Ovis aries: one gene and its partner. The protein of the gene in region 2 interacts with the protein of the main gene of each other region in a biochemical or structural test. Links are inferred from orthologs where the notes say so. Each region holds a gene or a part of one and is shown on either strand. Other genes may lie near its edges.

Region 1 (7,523 bases), on a different chromosome or scaffold from region 2:
GGACAGAAGGAGGGGATGGAGTTGGGGTGGTAAGCCAGAAGTCACATTCTGAGTAATTGCGATGTGCCAGGCACTCAACATGCGTGATTTCACTTAATCCCACCTAAAACCCTAGGAAGGTTCATGGAAGCTCTGAGAGGGTTGGTTACTGGCCCAAGGTCACCCAGCTAAAGAGTTGCAGGACCAGAATTGGGACACAGGTGATACAAGGGGTAAGGAAGAAGGGCTTAGGAGGCATCCTGGGCCACTAACTGAGGCAGGTCCTCCAGGAGACAGAGCACCCCCTCTTCAAGCTCCTGGGGAGAGAAGGACAGTGGAAGACAGTGCCTCCCTACCCATCTCTCATCTTCTACCTCTCCCCCAGGGTGGGCAGAGAAGTCCACCAGCTCCTCCTGCAGACTGGCCACTTAGGTCCAGGGTCCAAGCTCAGACATGCCAGCTCCAGGGGGCCACTTGAGCCCATGAAATGGATGGTGTACTAATCCCCATTGCCCCTACAAGGACCCCTGTACCCTCATACTGACTCCATATTGCCTGTGAGGAAGGGAAGGGTGGGCAGTTCTCAGTACCTCTATATGCCCCAAAAGGAAATCAGGATCCAGAGAGTGAAGTGACTGGCCCAAGGTCACACAGCAGAGCCAAGGCAAGGACAGAACCTGATACATGTCTCCCAGTCTGGGGCTTTGCGGGGCGATCTGGGAGCTGGACAACCCCTTACAGGGCAGCTCGGCCTTCCCAAGAAAACCTAGTTCTGTCTCTCCTGACCTCCCTTCTCCCCACTCCCCACCACCCCCTGCTCTGGCCATGGATGCTGCCCCGCTGCCCCCTGACCTGTGTGACGGTGTAATCCTTTTCCTCCATCCGGTCTTTGATGATGCGGATCAGCGGGCCAATGTTGTAGAATTCCGCTTCCTCCAGGACCCCTGACACAGAGCAGCACCCACATCACTCCCACTGCCCCCATGCCCCATTCTCGCCTTGTCCCCTCCATCCCCACCCCCTGCTCATCACACTAGGGTGACGAGCCTCTCTGAGTTCAGGGGTCAGGCAAGAGGGAACACTCCCTTCTTGGGGACTCACACTCTCTATAGCAGGGCTAAGAGGCACCATCTCCCTGGTGTGCTGAGCACAGCGACCTGGGACACCTACCAGTCCCCCCGTCTGGGGCTAACCAGAGGCAGCAGGCCCATGGGACTGGACCCTAGAAGGCCACAGTGAGAGGGGCCTTGGCTGACCCCTGATTACATGCTCCCACTGATGAAGCACGTGCTAAGCAGCAGGCACCACGCCAGGCAGGTTGCACTCTTTACTGTAGTTCATTCTCAGCACGAGAAGTAGATACTCTCATCACCCCCACCGAGCAAACAGGGAAGCCAAGGGCCAGGCAAGGCAGTAGCTGTGCAACACCTCACACCCAGCATGGGGCAGAGCTGGGGTTCCCACTCAAGTGCCTCTGCCCTCCAATCCCACTAAGTGCATGATCTTTGTGCACTGACCAACCACACTTCACAGTCTGCAGAGCCTGTCCCGTGCTCATCACAAGCCCCAGGGCGTGCTTGTCCCCACGCAGGTAAGGGAGCCATCTTAGAGACTGAGCGAGTGCCTCTCTGGTGAGGGGGACAGCCCTCAGCCTTTGGACCCCCCTCAGCTCCTCAGGGCAGGTCCTTTGCACAACGGGCCTCTGGGCTCCTGCGGGACAGGACCCACATCTGATGTCCCTGGCTGTCCCCAGTGCTCACATCCACCTAACACAGAGGAGGTGGTCAGTGCGTGCTACTGCCAGGAATGCCCCCCGTGGGGCCCTACAGATGACAGACAGCAAACTCTGTATCACGGGTCCTTGGTGCCAGGCGTGGCACTAAGCGACACACTTGTATCCGCCCCTTTTATCTTCACAGCAGCTCAGCAAGGTGGGTGCTATTGTTACCCCATTCCACAGATGCAGGCATGGAGGCACAAGGGGATAAGTGACTTTCTAGGGTTCACACACTAGTCAGTTTCCTGCCAAAGCCCCTGGCCCCTTGGAGCAGGGCCCTAGTCCTGTCTGAAGGTGCTGGGAATGCCAGGGCTTTGACAAATCCAGAACCTGTAAACAGGTGTTAGCTGTGACGCTGGAGTGTTTAGCTCCCTTCCCCGTGGGAGCGGCTTTTGGGCCCAGGCCACGCCCATGGTGTCTGCTCTCCCAGGGGCCACCAGGAAAGCTGTGGGGCTCCCGGAGCCGATGCCTAGAGTGGGCTCTGATTCTGAAGCCCTGGTCCTCTGGAGAGCCACCTGGCCTCTAGACTACTGTGTCCCATAGGGGTCAGGAGGGAAGACTGTGGCCTGAGTGAGGAGGGAGGGGCTGTGTTAGATTCCTTCAGGGTACAAGCCCTGGGATTTGCGATGTCTGTTTTCCCAGAACACATCCCTAATGGAGATCGCCGCCCCACTTTATACACACAGTAGAGACTCAGAAAGGAAAAGTGACAAGTCCAAGCTGGCCTGGCTGGGTCAGCTGACCCAAAGCCACACCCTGTGCTCTAAGGAAAAGTGGGCTTGGCACCCACCTATAGTCCCTGCTCCAGGCTGCAGTTCTGCCAAGAAGCCATTCTCCCAGGCATGGCTTCCCTGCCATCTGCTGGGCCAGGAAGTGGACATTTACAGGGCCTCAGCTACCTGGCCTGGGAGGGACCACACGCCCGCTGGGGAGCAGCCTCCCCACTCCCCTTCCTCCACCCACAACCAGCACTGTGCAGCAGAGGCTGTCAGAGCTCGGGAAGAGCCACCCGTTCCACCTCCCTGCTGACTGTGAGCCCTCACCAGGCATCTGAGATACCCGATCACTCAAAGAAAGAAGCATACCTCTTCCCGTGGCCATTTCTACCCCCACCGGGCTCACCACTGGCTTCCCAGCAAGCCAGGGGAAAGGACATCCCTTGCCTCCGGCGGAGGCTACAGGCCTCACGGGCTTCCTCTCTCTTCTGCCTATGTTTCTGCCACTTCCCCAGAAGCACCACCCAGTAGAAGCACCCAGTGGAAGCGTGGGCCAGTCACCTTGGCCCTAGGCTCAGCCTGGGCAGAGGCTTTGGCATCCAGTCCTGTCTGGAACGAGAAGAAGCAGGAAACATGGAAGAAAACAGAGGTCTCCTCTGGATGGGAGAAATGGCTTTGGACCACCATGGAAGGCCCTGGCAGGCTAGAGAAGACAGGCGTAGGACGCAGGTCCTGGCCAGCCCCCTGGACCAACTTACCCTCCTCAGCCATGTCCTTGTCTAGCACCAGCTTGCCATGCCGGAGGAAGTTGAGGATGGGCCCAAAGTAGGTGGGGTCGCGGTCAATGAGGTAGGCCCCTGTCTCATCCTACAAAGGCAAGGGGCACAGGCAGTGAGAAAAGAGTGAGCCCCTCTTCCCTGCTGACCCTGCACATACCCCCACCCTTCAGTCCCAGTAAAGGACAGAGGGAGGGTGGGGGCGGGGGAATGCAGTGTTCGCTCCAAAACGGAGTGGTGTGATGGAGTAAAAGGACCTTCGGGTCAGATACAGCTAGGTTCAGATCCTGCCTCTGCCTTTTCCTGACTCTGTGACCTCGGGTCAGTGACTTGACCTCTCTGAGCCTTGCTCCTCTCCCCCACAACCGGGGAGAATTGTGAGCAGCCAGTGAAGTTTCAGTGGCACCCAGGCCAGTGTAGGGCTCAGGGATCATCCCTCTTAGAGGTTATTTCCTGAAGCCAGCCCTACACGGTCTCCAGCAGACCCCAGTTATTCTGCGGATGTTTACAAGTTTCCAAAGGAGCTGCTATCTCATTGGATACCCTCATTGGATACCGGGCAGGGAGGCTTGAGAGAGTTTCAGTGCAACTCTACAGAGAGAAGACAGGGACATCACCAGGTAAAGAGACTCACCCAAGGTCACAGCATCAGGTCAGGAAATGGGAGAGAAGGGGCCTTAGAGGTCATCGCAGGCCAGCCCCCTGGGGCTACAGACAGGAGGCTGAGCTGGAGCAGGGAAGGATCTGACCCAAGGTCATGCAGGCAGTTTGCAGCAGAACTGAGATGGGAACCCAGAAATGGTGCCCCAGGCCAGCATTCCTCCCCATGAAGCCCAGCTCAGAAGGAACCTGGGATTTCTCCACCCAGCTCCCTGTACCCCTAGGCCACCCACACCCCAAAGGGCAGGGAGAAGCAGACTCTATCTCCTGTGATGCAGGAGTCCAGTTTGGGCAGGAGGGAAGTCCCTTCGTGTCTGTCCTCCCCACAGCGCCAAAGAAATGGGAGAGACCTTATCCAATAGTCTCCTTGGTGGGGAGCCTAGGGTAGAGCTCAAAAGCTCCAAATGGCCCCAGCCTGGCGTTGTCCTGTTGCCAAGGCAATGGGCACATCCTCACTCTCTGATCCACTTCCTTCTCCCCTCCTTCGACCAGTTCTTCTTGCCTCCAGCTCTTCGGAAAGAAACCCAGCCGGGTTTCCAGCCCCGCGAGCAGGCCTGGCTGAATAGCCAGATTCCAGCGAGCGGGGATCCCCAACGGCCGCCCACCCCGTGGGCCTCACCCGGTCGGACTGCAGCTCTTCCCCCTGGCACAGGCGGCTGAGGAAGGACTTCTGCTCGCGGCACAGCGTCTGCCTGGTGGTCAGGAACACCGTGCCCCCCACGTTGAGCCGCACCCACTTGCCCCAGCCGCCCGCCCCCGCCGGCGGCGCTGCCTCACCGGCCTCCATCCTCATCGCTCTTCCCAGCGTCTGCATCCTCCGGGCAAGGAGGCTGGAGGTGGGCAGGTACCGAGCGCCGGGCATGCCGGGAGCTGTAGTCCCAGCCGCCAAGGGCGGATGCGGCGGGAGTGAGGATCTTGCCTTTCCCTAGCCCCGCCCTACTTTGTCCTTTCTGGGAGGTCTACAAACGAGGGTCTCTTAAAGATGCTCTTGGCCAAAGTGCTCTGTGTTCGGGGAAGGTCAAATTCGAGGTCACTGGGAAAATGATGAGGGATACCCCGAATCAGCAATCCTCCCGTTCTGCCTCCACATTGCTTTCCCTTTGTCCAGTCTGGGTTATCAAACAACTGACAAGAGAAGGAACTTTTCCCTCTCCCAATTTTATAGCAGCATTTACCTGTATCTGTTTTCTAATATTCTTTCATTCTGCTTTTGGCTGGCGGGGGCTGGGGAAGAAGGGAGCCGTGCTCTTTCCCCACGAAAACTCTCTTTGAGGACAACAGAGCTGGGCTTACAGTTGGCTCAGCACCTTCTATATTCCAGATGCTTTATGCATCTGTATTATTCATTGATGCTCTCAGTAGCCCTGTGAAGTTGGCGTTACTGTACCCATTTTACATAAGAGGACACAGAAGCAAAGTGACTTTCTGCATTCACACAGCTAGTGAGGGTCAGGCTGGCAGGAGCCCAGGTGGGTTTCAAGTGCATTTCCACCACCAAGGCCCGTTTCCTGCTCCGTGGGAAACATTTCTAGGGAGGAAGAGTGGAGAGGGTACCGGATGAATGTCTGGAGAGCTAGGTTTTCATTCTGGCTTTTGTAGGATGAAGTGCTGGGAGACTCTCAGTTTACTCATCTGTAATTCGGGAAGGGGAGGAGGGATTGGTTCTGTGGATGTACTTCTGAGCCAGATAACTTGGCGGGGGTGGGGGTGGGTTGCTGCTATTGTGGGTTCTGCAGGATGTGGGAAGGGGACAGCTCCTCATGTGGTTTGGGTCCTGGGAGAGAAAGGAGCAGAAGGGAAGTCACCCTCCTTTATTTATTTCATGTAGCTCGTGGGATCTTAGTTCCCTGACCAGGAATTGAATCCAAGCCCTTGGCAGTGAAAGCACCAAGTCCTAACCACTGGACCACCAGAGAATTCCTGAAAGCTGTCTTCTTTAACTTCCTTTCCTTCTCACTATTTCAGTCAGTGATCTCTGTGTCACACACTCAGGCCACACTCACTGGGCAGCCTGGCCCTGTGGTGGGGTGAGGAGGGGAAGGTTCTATTATCCCTCAGGTTCTGTCTCCGTAAACCTTTCCCCTTGGCAGGGAGTGGATCACAGCTGCTAGACTCCTGCTCCTGGGAATGTGTGTTCTCTTAAACACAAATTCGAGTGTGATCTTGAGCCACCTCCTTTCTGAATCTCAATTTTTCCTTTTGCGAAGTGGGAAGTGTCACTGAAGAACACTGTCATGAAGATTCGATTATGTTGGTAAAACAGCTGGCATAATCCATGGCTTGTAGTATACTGAATACATGAATGAATGAAACAGGATATAAGTTATGAACTGGCCTTGGATGAACAGCAGCACTCCAGGCAGCACTCCAGGCAGCACTCCAAGCGCTAGGTGAGTCCTCCACCATCGTCAGCTGAAACAAAACCAAAGCAGGGAATATGTCTTCTTCCACTTAAGGGTCATAGGCAGGGAGTAATGTGGTCAATGTGTAACTTGGGCCACTCTGGAGACTGCAGAGGAGACGCCTCAGAGCCCTGAGAGACCAGCCAGGAGGGCTCCTAGATGAGGGGTAGGGAAGCCCCAACCAAGGCAGCGTCAACCGGGAGTAGGCTTTAGTGGATACTTGGGAAACTGAAATGAAGCTTGAAGGGGCTGTGGGAAGAAAGGAGAAGGAAGGAGAAAGAGGAAGGAGGAGGGGCCATGCTGACAACCCTGGCTTCTGGCTTGAACCAGCAGTGTTTCCCTGAAGCAGGAGAAGATGGTCTGGGGAGGCATCAGGGGTGATGAGGTCAGTTTGGAGCCTGTATCTCCAGTGCCTGTGGGGCGAGAGACCATTGTCCTGCAGGTGTGATACTGAGCGGAGCAGCTTAGGCTGGAGAGGCCTGGTGGGCTGGCCTGAGCCTAGAGCAGGGAGGAGACCCCTTCAAAGAAAACCTGAAAAGTCCCAGAGCTAGAGACCCAGGAAGGCCCTCTCATGTGGTGGCCCCAGTGAATGAAGAGGACGGGACAAAGTCTGGAGGGCGAGGAGCCAGAGCCATACTCCAGAGACCAAGAAGGGGCCAGTTTGCATGGACAAGTTCACAGGAGGAATGAAAGCTGAGAAAGTGGAGCTGTAGCGTCCTGGAGCTGTGGCAACCCACGGCTCGCCTGAACCAACCTGCCCCTGCAGGTGTGACAGAGCCGAGGCCTGGAGGCAGAGAATAACTTGCACAGGGTCACTCAGCAAATGTGGAGCAGACCCCAGATTTCTTGGGCCGCCAGCCCTGACCCATCAGGGGTTGCCTCTCCCCTGCGAGGAGCACAGACCATGCTGCACACGCGGACAGCGTAGAGCTTTTAGACAAAAGAGGCATGTCATGGGACAAAATTCAGATCTCTCTTTCGGTGAGGTGAAATTCCTTACTACATTGAATTATTTCACAATAAAACTGATATTAGAAAGAAAGAAGGAAGGAAGGAAGGGCTTTCCTGGTGGCTCAGTGGTACAGAATTCCCCTGCCAATGCAGGAGGCATGGGTTTGACCCCTGGTCTGGGAGGATCCCACATGCCGCAGAGCAGCTAAGCCTGTGCCCTGCAACTGCTGAGCCTGTGCTCTAGAGCCCTGGAGCCGCAACT
Region 2 (7,071 bases):
CATAATATATTCGTAGTACTGTTTGAAAGCAAAATATCTTGAAACAAAAAGTCACTAAAACATTATTTTTCCTAATACATGAGGGTATATAAACACTAAGGCATACAAAGAAGAAGAACGAACTTTCATTCTTGACACTATTTAAATAAGGTCTTCATCAGATAAGCTAATACATAAAAAGAAGTGGCTGAGTTTGGCTCCCTGATATAAACATACGTGCTTTCCAAAATTCCTGAAATATTTACAATAATTACCCATATTAACCTACCACTGGAACAATTCAGTCAAAATACATACCACATCACTTTGTAAAAGTGATCTTTTTAGCATGACAAAATTACTTTATGATAAAGAGAATCTTCCGTATTTACTTACCTGGATATAGTCTACGGGATTCTTTCCTTCTCCTTCCTCAGAAACAAGGGCTTTACCTTGTTCCCTCAAATAGGAACTCATACACTCACACATCGTTTTCAAACCATTTGGCACACGACTAAACAACTTGTACATGCAAGCAAGGTCTGCAATCAGAACGAACACACAAATTGGCCACATTAAAGATTAAGAAAAAAAAAACCCTGAATATCTGCTCATGCTGATTTGTGATATTTAAAGAAGCTCCATTATGATAATTTGATGACCACATTAAAAAAACTACTAAAAACCAAAACTCCAACAAAACAGGGGTGGGATGGGGGAAGCTAGTTAATGGTTGTTACTGCAACTTACAAAATATATCATACAGATGAGATACTAAGCATCAATAAATGGTTGCAGCAAGTTTTGGTTTGCATGGAAGAGATGTCCAAATAGCATAAGAAACAAAGTCACAAAAAAGGAAAACTGAACTTTTGGGTCCCTATGTAATTTATCCAATATAATTCTAATTTAGAAACTAGTAATACAACAAAACAACTATCAAAAGAATAACTTTAAGTTTGGTATGTCCAATTAAAAAAATAAATGTGGTTTAACTGACAGTTAATGTAATAAAGTAGAACTTTAAAAACCAAGAAGTCTTACAGATATTTTGAAGCATGTCTATCTCAAAAGTTCAATGCCAATAGTGGCAAGAAATAAATTTCATTACACACCATGGTAAAATTCATGTGAAACTTACAGTATAAACTCCTATGTTTTAGTATTTTCCTTGGAGCAATCCCTAATATTTTTCAGGAGATGATCTAAGCCAATATCTGTATTTGAAAAACTGGCTTATCTCACTACATTGTTTTTATTTAGAATGAAAACTCTAAACTGCCTTTTACAGAAATAAAAGGTGGAGTTAAGATACTGCTTTCCCGTATGTCTAACGCATCTCTGAAATAAGAACTTACTGGAAGAGTACAATGTCAAAACTTTACAATAATATAAAAAAAGGTTTTATAACTGAGAACTTTTAAAAATGGAGTTAGAACAGCACTTTCTAGATCAGGGGCTGTTTTCTGTAAAGCATCAGACAGTAAATGTTTTAAACCATGGATCATATATGGTTTTTGTTCCAACTACTCAAATGTTGCCACTGTAGCCAGAAAGAAGCCATGGCTAACACATAAACGAATGGTCATGACTGTACTCCAATGAAACTTGATTTATAGACACTGAGATCTAAAACTTATATAATTTTCATGTGTAACGAAATATTACTCTTTTGACTTTCTTTCCAGCCTAACTGGTAGTGGGCCAGATCTGACAGACAGGCTATAATTTGCCCACCTTGTCTGTATTTATAAGAGCAATTTAGATCCTAAAAATACATGGATGCAACTTTTATAAAAAGGGCTTCAAAATTTGTTTCAATGACTTTCAAAAGCCAAGTTTTTGGACAAAGTATTCTCATCAACAATATATGTCCAAAATAATCTACACAGAGCAAATCTTATAGTTTCTCACATTTGGTATAAATTATAACCAAGTTGCCCATGTTAAAAATAAATATTACAAATGCAACAGAAATTTATGGATATGTACTATAGTAAGCTTTTGTTATCAAATACCTCTAACAAAATAGTTTCCAATTTTGTCTTCTTTGTTCCTATGCTGTTATAGTTTTGTTTACATGTTGTATATTTAACTGTATATAAACTAATAAAATTTCTTATATATAATCCACTGTAAATAAATGGATGGCATAGTGGAGAAAGTGAAAGAGAAGAAAAATTATGTGGCAAGCAATTAAATATTATTTGTTTATACTGAAACAATAAAATGATACTATCTGAACTTAATTTCATAGCACCATATGCATTTCATTATCAATCCAACTAATCCTCCACTCATGGTGGGAAAAAAACCTTTCACTTTCTGATCTATAAGACATTTGGCTTCATAATGGTGAAGTTCCATCTCTGACATATTCTTGACATACTGTTCAAGAGCAGGTCCTAGCATAATGAAGACATTTTGCAATTAGGTTTCTAGTAGCCAGGAAAACTGAAGACATGATTTTTAAATTTAATTTAGCATCACAGAGAGCTGCTTACTTGCTGAGAACATTAAGCACTAAATAGAAACTATGGTAAGTAGCTATTCTGATACTCTATCATTTAGGTACTTATTAAGCAGTTGCCATGTGTTAAGATATACTTAATAGCCTTTAACACAAGTCTCCATGCAGGCTACAGATACTATAATTCAGGTGTGCTCAATAATCTCTCCATCAAACATTTCCTAGCCTCTTAATCTTCAAACCCATTTAATCTCCCCACTCTTAGCCACCCCCACCAAACATGAATAAGAAGAAAGCATTAACTCAGTAACTAAACAATATATTAGAAAATTGATTCTCATCCTGTTTAAGTAAGGAAAATTGCTTTTCATAAAGTCCTAATCTGCCAGAGATCATTAAGATTGGGGTCATCAAACTATAGCCCATGGAACAAGTACAGGCCACTGCTTGTTACTATACAGTTCACAAAATAAGAATGCTTTTCACATTTTAAATGGTTAAAAATAAAAATCGAAGTTTTATAGGAATACAAGTTTATTCATTTATGTTACTGTCTATGCCTACTTTCTATTATAGCAGAGATGGGTAGTTTACTGAATGGTCCACACCCCTAAAATATTTCTTTTAGAAAAAAAATTTTGCCAATCCCTGACTTTGACAATGGGCATCCAGGAGTAGCTTATTTTGGAAAATATCCTTTAAAATGACTTTTGTTTTGCTTTTACAGAAAAACTTCATCGGAGGGTGTTTTAAAAAGTAACTTCTCTGCTTAATAAAGACAACAAATTTACATACAACTTTTCTGGAACTTAAAACGTATATAGAAACATAATCATCTAAAAATACAAGGCAAAGATTCCACTAGAGGAAGAATAGAACAACCTCTCTTCCCACCATCTTTCTTTTCCCTTCTCTTTTAAATTATTAACTTAAAAAACTGTTTCACTCTCTATGTAGGGAGTCAAGGTAGGGTCATAAGTCATAGTATGTATTTCTTTTATAAGTATGTGGCTAAAATGTCGCTAAGACTTCACCCAGCACCAGATTTACTTTTTAATACCATGTGCTCTGTGTGCTCATCTGCTCAGTCGTGTCTGACTCTTTCCAACCCCACAGACAGTCCACCAGGATCCTCTGTCCATGGGATCTTCCCTGACGCCGGGACTGAATCCACATCTCTTGCGTGCCCTGCACTGGCAGGCAGATTCTTTACCATTAGCACTACCTAGGAAGCCCTTTTAATACTGTATCAGTGACTTAGCAAGTCATAGTTTTAATGCAAAGCTTCAGAAATTAAGAATGAGGACATGACTGTTTTTCATAATTTGTCCCAGGGTATTCATCAAAAAGTATCACTTTAGAAAAATAAGGTAAATAGTCAAAAAGAGAGTAAATGTTAGTTATCTCCAAAATGTTTACTTGTAAACAATACTCCTTTCTCCTTTTTCAGTCTATAACTTATGAGTTCCTCTAAACACGCTGACATGCAAGACATGTAAATTTTTGCATTTTGGTACCCTTATCACAACCAACTCCCCAAAGGAATGCATACAAAAATTTAAGACTGGAACTTCAGACTGTGGAGAGTGTGGATGAAAAAAAGAGTCTAAATGCTCTGGCATATAAAAATAAAGTAAGGAGCAGGTCAGGAGCTCACCGGCCTCATGAACATTATCAGGCTCATCTTCTGGGTTAAGAAAAACACAAAGTGAGGAGACTAAAGAGAGAAAAAAGTAGCTATTCAATTCACTAGCAACATCTAGAAACCTTAAGTGTAAAGCTTTACTGTAAAATTCTATCAAAGTACCAACAGTGATAAAGTAATCAAAAGTAATGACTTCTTAAAAACTGATATTCATAATCTTCAATAGAAAAAAAAAAAAAAAAAAACAACCAAAAAACCGAGAACCTGGCAGACCTACAAGAATTCAATTGTTTTTCAATTGCTAACACTTACCTTCTGTCTTGCCATTTTTCAACATATGTACTAGCCCCGAATTCTCCATTTCTACTATAGTTTTCATGTGCTTGGAAATGAGTTCCCTCTCAACCACCTTTACAATCGGCTCTTCGGTTGATTTGTCAAGGCAGTGCATCACTCGTTCTATTTCTTCATTAATTCTAGCTTCTACTTTCTTTATATATACTGAAGCACTGTTTTCTGCTAGAAATTTCTGGCTTTCCATCTGCAAACAAAAAGCATGATTTTTTTTCTTTTTTAAACAAAGCAGCAAAATGTGCTTCTGCTTTCAACTGGGTTTCTACAGTGTTTCTCATAAACCAAACTAAATATCCCAAGCACTATTAACATTTTATACACTGTCTATATATACTCCTATCATAAGCATGATATCCTTTAAAGCATTACATACAACTAAATTAATACATTATCCTTAAGTAGCATTTTTCAAACTTTGCCAGTGTATTCCGAATAGCAGAAAAAGCAAGCACATGCCAGTAAAAGTTGAAACTACAGAATGAAGCATCTGACCCCAAGTGAGAGTGAAAAATTCTTCTTTGTTTTAATGTAAAATTATGCCTTAAAAAGATTCATCCTATTTATCACACAGTTTTGCTGGCATACTGGAAGTTACTAAAGTCCTCCTGCCACCCTATTCCCACTCTCAAAGGAATGTATATAAAGTCTGAGAAAGAGCTTTTCAATAACTATTAATCATGTCTGCTAATACCAGTCTTACAGAGAAATCTCAGTAAGTTTTAAATGCTGACCCTACTAACTTTAACCTCATAGTAAAATTAACAAATATACCTAAGAATTATATAATATTAGACATGTTAATATAAATGATATACAAATTTAATAGCATTTTCCATTCTCTTAATAAAAAGTAGTTTGAAATAATTAAAGTTTTTAAGAATACACATTATCACACCAAACAAAAATCATGGTGAGACAACCACTTCACTATTACATTAATACATATATCACTGTAATATATTTTGGAAACTCAGAGGTTAAAGCGTCTGCCTCTAATACAGAAGACCTGGGTTCAATCCCTGGGTTGGGAAGATCCCCTGGAGAAGGAAATGGCAACCCACTCCAGCATTCTTGCCTGGAGAATCCCATGGACGGAGGAGCCTGGTAGGCTACAGTCCATGGGGTCGCAAAGAGTCGGACACGACTGAGCGACTTAACAATTTTCAACTTTATTTCTACACTGTAATGAAAGAAATTAAAACAAATGCAAATGTAAAAACACTGTCAAAAATATCCAGAACTAGTTGTTGCATTATTAGGAAATAAAGACTGTTTCCTACATCACAAAATTAGTATTTCATAAAGCATGGTTCAGGCTCACCAGTACAGGCCATAAAAATCTTCCTGATAGGTTACAAACTGATTTTTAAAAACCGTGGCGGGGATGGTGGTAGGGTGATGTGGGCAGCAGTGTGCAAGTATGTTTTTTTGTTTATTGTAAGTGACAGCAAAATTTCAGGAGTCCCACATTTATATACATCCAATGGCTCTTAATGCTGGGAGGGGCTGGGGGGCAGGAGGAGAAGGGGACGACAAAGGATGAGATGGCTGGATGGCATCACTGACTTGATGGACGTGAGTCTGGGTGAACTCTGGGAGATGGTGATGAATAAGGAGGCCTAGCGTGCTGTGATTCATGGGGTCGCAGAGTCGGACACGACTGAGCCACTGAACTGAACTGAACTGAATGGCTCTTAAAAATGACCTACTGTAGAGTAACTGTAACTTTCTGCTTATTTTTAAAAAGCTTATTACTGAAATTGAACAGTAAAGTTTTAACTGAGTCTACTTCAGCAGTACTACAAAGCTCCTACTACAAACTGCTCAGATGGTTGAGGCTTTCAGGAAGAATAACCAATTACCATGACTCTGTAAGGACTGTCTCGTGTGTCATGGTACTCAGTCACTGTTATTTCATTACAAATCAGTACTAGTTTATCCTTACTTTTTTCAGTTGGTTTGGGGTTGTAGATACAGCTGCAAATTTGTATCTTATAATTTCCTCATCAATAGATTTTAAGACAAATATATGCACTATGGGATCATACCTATTATCTAATCTATATTTACTAGTAAATTACCAAAAGCCTGAATAATGAGACTTCATTGGTGATGTACTGCCTGTGAATTTATGGCAAATTACAGTAACATATAAATATTATAAAACGTAAGGTTATTCCTTAGTTTATATGTATTATAAACATATAAACATAAAATTTGTTAAAGATTTTTTTTTTTGGATGGGGACCATTTTTAAAGGTTTAATTAAATTCGTTAACAACACTGTTTCTGTTTTATGTTTTGTTTTTTGGCAGAGAGGCACGTGGGATATCAGCTGCCTGACCAGTGACTGAACCCACATTCCTGCACTGGAAGGCAAAGTCCTAATCACTGGACCATTAGGGAAATGCATATGCATATAATTTTTAAAAATTATAAAACAACAAAATCCTATAAAGCAATTATCCTTCAATTAAAAAATAAAATTTAAAAAAATTATATGTCTAAGTTCAACCTCTTCAATTTATTTTCAATAAACTTGTTCACTGGAATATGAGCATGTAGGGTTGGTGTGCTGAAGGGTATAAAATTTGCACTCATTTCCCCAATGGGCCTCAGGACA

The links. The genes of interacting proteins can lie anywhere in the genome.
Region 1: the proteins of CUL3 (region 2) and KCTD17 form a complex in vitro, tested with the Homo sapiens proteins (3 studies listed by BioGRID). The link is inferred for Ovis aries from reciprocal best matches to the Homo sapiens genes CUL3 and KCTD17.

The regions. Positions count from the first base shown.
Region 1 is NC_056056.1:181,100,308-181,107,830, reverse strand, and holds the start of KCTD17 (BTB/POZ domain-containing protein KCTD17), read right to left. Parts: upstream 4,719-7,523; 5' UTR 4,702-4,718; coding exon 4,528-4,701; intron 3,340-4,527; coding exon 3,231-3,339; intron 924-3,230; coding exon 832-923; intron 1-831. UniProt on the Homo sapiens protein: Substrate-adapter for CUL3-RING ubiquitin ligase complexes which mediates the ubiquitination and subsequent proteasomal degradation of TCHP, a protein involved in ciliogenesis down-regulation.
Region 2 is NC_056055.1:226,665,445-226,672,515, forward strand, and holds part of CUL3 (cullin-3), read right to left. Parts: intron 4,636-7,071; coding exon 4,407-4,635; intron 522-4,406; coding exon 376-521; intron 1-375. UniProt on the Homo sapiens protein: Core component of multiple cullin-RING-based BCR (BTB-CUL3-RBX1) E3 ubiquitin-protein ligase complexes which mediate the ubiquitination and subsequent proteasomal degradation of target proteins.